Cricetulus griseus: one gene and its partner. The protein of the gene in region 2 purifies or fractionates together with the protein of the main gene of each other region. This does not show direct contact. Links are inferred from orthologs where the notes say so. Each region holds a gene or a part of one and is shown on either strand. Other genes may lie near its edges.

The links.
Region 1: the proteins of Stk38 (region 2) and Mob2 purify together in Homo sapiens (affinity purification with mass spectrometry; 7 studies listed by BioGRID and IntAct, with this or other methods). This does not show direct contact. The link is inferred for Cricetulus griseus from reciprocal best matches to the Homo sapiens genes STK38 and MOB2.

The regions. Positions count from the first base shown.
Region 1 is NC_048596.1:59,171,287-59,175,101, reverse strand, and holds part of Mob2 (MOB kinase activator 2), read right to left. Parts: intron 3,116-3,815; coding exon 2,955-3,115; intron 2,781-2,954; coding exon 2,687-2,780; intron 1-2,686. UniProt on the Homo sapiens protein: Stimulates the autophosphorylation and kinase activity of STK38 and STK38L.
Region 2 is NW_023276806.1:257,481,543-257,485,357, forward strand, and holds the end of Stk38 (serine/threonine-protein kinase 38), read right to left. Parts: intron 3,195-3,815; coding exon 3,100-3,194; intron 2,479-3,099; coding exon 2,351-2,478; 3' UTR 608-2,350; downstream 1-607. UniProt on the Homo sapiens protein: Serine/threonine-protein kinase that acts as a negative regulator of MAP3K1/2 signaling. Converts MAP3K2 from its phosphorylated form to its non-phosphorylated form and inhibits autophosphorylation of MAP3K2.

The DNA of each region.
Region 1 (3,815 bases), on a different chromosome or scaffold from region 2:
AGCTCCCATGGCCAGTACTCATGCCTTTCAAAAAGAGCTGTTTGTTGTTCATGAACCAAGAAGCTCTTCTTAGAACCACAAGATATACCAGTGCTGTTCAGTAACCTCCATTGCCGGCATTTGGTTATGGCAGTTCAGACTGATGATGGTGAGTGTTTCTCACAGGGAGGCTCAGACTTAGTTCTACAAGAATATGTTCATAAAAATCTCTTTGAAACTCTTATACTCACATAGTAGCAGCCATTCATCTGCTGGATTTACATTACCATTGCTGGTTTTCTGCTTGTTCTGTTTTTATCTTTATAATCCATGGTCATGCTGTATGTGGGGCTGTATCTCCCCACGCCCACTTTTTTAACTATTCCATTTCAATTTACCCATTATGGTTCTGACTGTGTGTTTTCATATCACTTAAAGAATTTCAAAGTACATACATAGCTTTTCATGTTCAGGGTTTCACAGCTGGGGAAAGGTGGTTACTAACAGGGAATAGGCACCTCTCCCCTCTCACTGCCATTGCTCACATGTCCCATCTCTGAACCTGAGAATGTGTCAAACCATACTTCATTTCACCCTCAAATAACTTCTGAGAGCTCCAGAGAAGAGTCTCTATTTCTCCTAATGCTGACTCTTTTGTGCTGTCACACAGCTGAAGAACTGGTTGGAATTCTTCTACAGTAGATCAGATACCATGCAGTGGTCCATTCAATTGTGCTTCTGAAGGGCATGGCTGCTGGATGTGAAATAATGTGGAGTAATGCCTCTTCTCTGTGCCATGTGAAACATGGAGTGCTTCTCCAAGTCCCACAGCACTCACTACCTTTGATGCCACAGGGCCTTTACTGTGCTTGGTGTCTGGGTTATTTCACAGGAGTCCTTAAGGGTTCACTCAGCTCTGTCAATTTAAAGGAGTGTCTCTGAGGGACATGTTTGACCATGTTTCTGAATGTGTCTTAGCTCCCTAGATCCCAATGCTGGCCTTTTGGGGTTATCCTGCAAGTGCTGCAAGAATAGAAATGAGACCTAGCCTAATGCAGATCCTCTCTAACCTAGGCAAACCTCCAGGGCTGGTACACAGCAAGGAGTTCTGTGGATATCTGACTAACCCACTTTTCCTTTTAAACTAATTTTGAGTTTCCAAAATCCCTTGGTCTCACATGATTCCTTCAAAGGGATTATAGTAGGAATTATTAAGTGATTCTGCAAAGTGAGCCAACGGCAAGCTTAGCTGCCCAGGCTCTCCAGCATGCACTGAATGCGGGTCTGCAACAACACTAGCTTCTATGCTCTCAAGAAAGCTTTTCCCTCGGGACCAGGCACTGGTGGCGCACGCCTTTAATCCCAGCACTCAGGAGGCAGAAGTAGGCGGATCTCTGTGAGTCTACAGAGTTCCAGGACAGGCTCCAAAACAATACAGAGAAACCCTGTCTCAACCTCCCCCCCCCAAAGAAAGCTTTTCCCAAACAAATTCAGCTCTAAGAGGCACATGGGAGAAGCTAGGAAGGGTACCATGCTGTTTGGTATTATCTAGGCTATGCACATGCTCTCATGTGCTACCTCAGAATCTGACATGGGTTTGTCCTTCAGAGGCCACACCTCTGTTAAACACACACACCGAGCTTGTCTATAGCAAGGCTTCTCACCTTCCCTGGCAATGATTAGCTGACACAGTCTCTTCCTGGGGAAGAGAACTGGCTCTGTTCTCCCTACATTGCCAGAAACTGAGCTATAGCCACTAGAGCTATGTGAGCAGGCCTGAGACATGGGGGACTCCTGTCACTTGCTGTACCAAGACTTACAGCAGACTCTTGAAAGCAGAGCTGTTGTCTGGGGAAATCTGTACCTACAAGGAGGACTGTTTGAGTGTACAACACACACACACACACACACACACACACACACGCGCGCGCGCGCGCGCGCGCTCATGTGCATACACATGTACATTTCCATGTGTTCACAGCATCTTGAGGAGTCATCATGGAAGATCTTCCACCTCCTTGGCCACATCCACCCTAGGCTGAGCCCTGCCAAACTCAGCCTTCTGCCTGCATTAGCACAGCCACTCCTACCATCAACCCAGAACTGCTGGCTTTCCTACGCACAAAGCAAGGTGAGTTATCTTGGAAACCCTAAAGTCACCTGCATTCTACAGCACTGAATGTACACATATATCCAGAAGATAGCTGTCAGCACTAGACTTGTTCAGAAGTTGTCAACAGACACCTCTACCAGTAGAATGAGCCTGCTCACTTAGCCTTGCAGCTCCTAGGACACTGAGCACTCTGCAGGCTCAGGGACCATCTAAGCATGGCCTGCCTTTGGCCTCTGATGGCTCTTAGTATCTTTTATGCCAGCAGAGACACTAATGCTGGGCACCTGCCTAGCCTGAGATTGTGCAGGGATTGTGGTTAAGAATGGAATCTAAGTCGGGCGTTGGTGGCACATGCCTTTAATCCCAGCACTCAGGAGGCAGAGACAGGCTGATCTCTGTGATTTCGAGGCCAGCCTGGTCTCCAGAGCGAGTGCCAGGATAGGCTCCAAAGCTACACAGAGAAACCCTGTCTCGAACCGCTCCCCCCCCCCAAAAAAAAAAGAATGGACTCTAAGAAGCTAGTAGCCAGAACAGAAGGTCAACCACAACCAATCCCACACTCCCAACTGGTGCTATGGCCAAGCTGCTACTCACGTGTTGCACACGGCCATTGTCTGACACGTCTCTCCTGTGCAAAATTCTGAGATTGTGCTATACTGCAGGTTGATGTGGTGAAAAAATGTTGTTGCTGGAAGAGAAGCAAAGGTCCAGGTGAGTAAACACCCCTGTTCCAGCTGGCGTGACAGGGAGTAGGTTCAGCTGAGTTCGGCCTGTCCATGGACCACTGCTCTAGGGGTACTTGGAGATGGGGGGAGGCTCCCTGCCCTGCAGCTGCTGCACCCGCCTCCCCACCCGCACGCACTGTTGCTGGCCAGCCACTCGTTGAGGTCGATCTCCCGGGGCAGCACTACCAGCTCCTTGAACTCAAAGTCGGTGATCCTGGACTTGGTGTGCTCTGGCTCCAGGTATACTTTCTTCTCCTCTGAAGCAGTTTTCTTGCCGTTTGGCTTGGCTTTAGACTTCCTGCCAAGAAAGAAAGGATGTCATGGATGACATGTCACATGTCCCATTTGAGCTGGAACCATGGGGGTCTGAGAAGGACCTGCAAATTGGGCTAATTACGTCAGATGCAGGCAAGGAGAGAGACCACCAAAGGCCAGACTGTTCAGGGCTATTGGGTAGCCAATCCAAATGGTCATGACTTTATAGACATCCTGGGAGAAAGTATTGTAGACCTGGGCTCTAAGATGTGTGTGACAGCAGGGGGCAGCACCTGATGCCTGAACCATAAACCTCTTTCAAAAGGCTGCTTTTCCAAGGTTCTTAAGAAAGTTCTGAATGTATAAGGAAGTGATTTAAGGTAATGAAAAACTGTTTCATATTTCTTTGCCCCTCTATGCTATTGTTATATTAATATTTCAAAGGTTCAAGAAACCTATACCAATGGGTCAACCAGACTACTGGAGACTACTCACCAGCAGGTTGCCAAAAGGAGATATTTATCCCTAGAACACCTAAATCAATTTCTAAAACATCTGTCCCCTGTGCTTGAGATTATTAGAGATTACTGTTGATAATGGCCAGAGACAGCCTTTATTGGTCCTTTATAGGAGACATGATGCATATTCAAAATGGGGAATCTTTTATATCTTAATTAAGAACACATGGCACCCTAGATGGGGGTCACTGGTAAACTTTACTATAGTATTTATCACAGCCGTCC
Region 2 (3,815 bases):
ACCTGAGTTTGATCCCCTGGACCCTTTTGGCTGACATAAAGAACCGACTGCTACAAGTTGTCTTGTGATCACCACACATAAAGTTGTGACACACAATAAATGATTTTTTTAAATAAATTAAACAAATATTTAGGACTGAGAAATACCACATTTTAAGTTTTAAATTCCTGGATGATCCAGTGACACCACCTGTCCAGCAAGTGTTTTGTCCGCACAGAGACAGATAGGAGGGGCCTCCATAGTCTCTCTCAATGAATAAATTCAGAAGACCAGCTCCAGACAGAAAGCATTTTGTATCAAGAGAACAGTGCAACAGTGCAATATCCATATCGCTGGACAAAAAGATCGGGCAGGGCCACCAGTGTTCTGCTTCCTTGGATTTCAGGTCACAGCTACTTTTTTTTTTTTTTTTTTGGTTTTTCGAGACAGGGTTTCTCTGTGTAGCTTTGGAGCCTATCCTGGCACTCGCTCTGGAGACCAGGCTGGCCTTGAACTCACAGAGATCCGCCTGCCTCTGCCTCCCGAGTGCTGGGATTAAAGGCACATGTCACCAAAACCCGGCCACAGCTACTTTCAATACGGCACGTGAAATAAAACCACAACCAAGTTCCACTACTGTTTTCACAGTTTATTCAAAAGTTGAATAGTTAAAATGTGGGCATTTCCCAGAACGAAGCATCCCCACCACAACGGGTCTACCACTACTCTGACTTCTCCATCCATGCTCACACACTCCTGCAAACACACAGGGTTCAGGACCCCAACTGTTTGGTAATACATAGCTCAAAGCCACCCACAGGCCCTTCTACCTCCTCTGCACCAGGCTCTAAATGACAGCTCAAGGAGCTAACACCGCCAGTGCCCTTACCCAGAGTCAAGACTTCCTAACATTCTGTTTTCTTTTCCTAAGACATGAAAACCAAAGTCATTTTGCTTACAGTTTTAAGTCTTCTATTCTCTGAATGGCTGAGCTAGGACATACCTGACCTTCACAGTGTCAAGACTGGCAGAGCGAGTCCCAGTCATAGGTTGGCCATGACACTGCGAGTTACCACACAGGTGCAAATAATGCTTCAGCAGTTACCAACACTTGAAACGAACTCTTAACAATGCATTAACATAGAACCTCCACATTTTCTAACGCAGCAAACATTTTCCAAAGGTGGCAGCAGCTGTGGCAGACAAGGCACTTTGTGCTAAATTCAGTGTTTCTCATGACAGAATGCCACAGCAGAGCCAAGGCAGCCCTAGTTGCAGGCAACCCTTTTGGGTGCAGGGGCAAGTATCCCCCAGGAAGGCATCTGCAAAGGAAAAATTTGTAATCATGATTCCAAGGCAAAATGGCTACTTAAAGTTGGGATCGGGAAATAGCAAGACAAACACAATTGCACCATGAGTTGGGTGTGAGCTGAGGACTACTCATCAGTGGGCTGGTCTGCCTTGACTTCCACGGAGGCTGGGAGGCTGGGAGATCTTGCATGGCAGCACCTGAGCCTCCCTGGGTTCTCTGCTGTGTTCTCAGGCACAAGCTGTCCTGTAGCACTGCCGGGCATTGCTGGTAGGCGCACGTGTGTGTCTCAAGATCGTCTCGTATAGAAAATGAGAGTTGCCACATGGTCCAGAGCTCCTTGGCAGTGCCCAGTGGCTGTGTGGGCTTTCGAACAGCAACAAAGGGTCACACTAGTGCCTCCCTACCAAAACAGGAGAGCAGCACGAGGCTTTGGGATGGGGAGATAGGTCAGTGGGTTTGGGGTCTTTGCCCTAGTACCATAAGTAAAGTGCACCATGAATGAAGGCTGTGGAAAGTCACTCGGGCAGGCTGAGGTATGGGGAGAAAACACCCACACCTGTAGAACGGAGGCCGTTCCTTCAGCCACACTGTTGGGTGTTCACACAGACTTTCATTATTGCGTTTTCTTTAACTACAGATTTTTCAGCTATAAAGAGAAAAGAAATACTTGGTGGGCTTGGCAGGTGGCATTTCACCACAACACAGGCATTGGCTGGTACTCAGTGTCTATAATCTCAGTAATGGCGGGCGATGGCTCTTTCCCCCCTTCATTCTGAGGAACTCAGGAGATTCAAATTCTCTTTGAAACACCTAGCAAACTGGCTCGTAGGGCTTCTAGAGAAGCAAGACAGCTGCTTATGGCCGAGGAGAAATGCTTGTCTTTGTCCTATCAGTTTCCTGGTGCAGTATGGAGGCACAGCCACTTACAATCACATTGCAGAGACTTGACTATGCGTGTTAACGGGTTCTACAAACTTCTTGGAAGTCTTTCAAGAGTGTGAGAGGAGAGCTGCAGTGCTGCACAGGGACCGCTGGCCAGTTAGGGCCCTCAGCACAGTCTTACTTTGCTGCCTTCATGTAGGAAGGGATGGCCCCCCTGGCCGTCAGCCCCTCAAAGCGCTTGTAGGTGTAATTGATGAAGACCCAGTCCTTGTTCTTGTAGTCACTCTCAGGGTGATTACTTGTCACTGGCAAAGAGACAGGTGAGACTGAGACACTGTCCTACCTCAAGGACAGCTCAGTCCCAGAGGCATGACACCCTGGAGAATACAGCGCAGCTCCCAATCGGGAAGGATTATTCTTCAATGTGCAAATTTTCTATTTTGCGCTGGGAGGTGTTGGCGCACGCCTTTAATCTCAGCACTTGGGAGGCAGAGGCAGGTGGATCTCTGTGAGTTTGAGGTCAGCCTGGTCTACAAGAGCAAGTGCCAGGACAGCCAGGGCTACACAGAGAAACCCTGTCTCAAAAAAACAAAACAAAAATTCTATTTTGCTTACCTATGTTCTCTGAATTTCCCATTTCTGAATAAATATTTTTAAAGTTTTATTTTTTTGCTCCTGTCATTTCAGTTTACCTGAGTTAGGTTTTGTGACATGCTTGGCCAGCTCAAAGTCTAGACACAGATTTGTACTCACTCACGTCCCATTTAGTAGTCTCACGCTACCCGACAGTACTGATAAACGCTTACAAGGGATCAGAAGTGCCCCTTCACATTCTGAGGAGCATCTGTAAATGTCACCCCAAAACGGCTGGGGAGGATGCAGCCCTGAGGCTGCAGAGGCGGGCGGGGGCAGAGGGCGGGGGTTACCTGTGGGTTTAAGAATATCCGACTCTGGGAATTCATCGAAGTTGGAGGTATCATCGATGCTCTTGATTTCAATAGATATCGCAGCCGGTCTCTCCCTGTAGGTATAGACATACCCAGTCACCAGACAGTATTCCCTCGGAGGACGCTGACCAAGTCTTTCTCAGAAGACCCTTCTGACATGGGAGGACTATTCACACCGACAGGCAGAATTTGTTTTCTCTGAATGCTAAATAAGCCAATTGGCTACATCTGAGCCAAATTATCATTAAAAATTGGTAACTCAGCCAGTACAATGGCACACCCTTTAATCCCAGCAACCAGGAGGAAGAGGCAGGTGAATCTCTTGTGAGTTCAAGGCCAGCCAGGTGTACCTAGTGAGTTTCAGGACAGCTGGGGCTGCACGGAGACCCTGTCACTTTTTTATTGTTCCGTCTTTTGAGACACAGTTTCTCTGTGTAGCCCTGGCTGTCCTGGACCTCACTCTGTAGACTACGCTGGTCTTAAATTCACAGAGATCCACCTGCCTCTGCCTCCTGAGTGCTGGGTTTAAAGGTGTGCGCCACCACTGCCCAGCTGAGACACTGTCTCAAAAAACAGCAAAACCCAACCAAACAAGCCTCCCATCAGAAGACAGGGAGCAGCTACAAACAAGCATCCCATCAGAAAACAGGGGAGCAGCTACAGCTCCAAGTGGACGCACCCACCCCTCAGAAGGG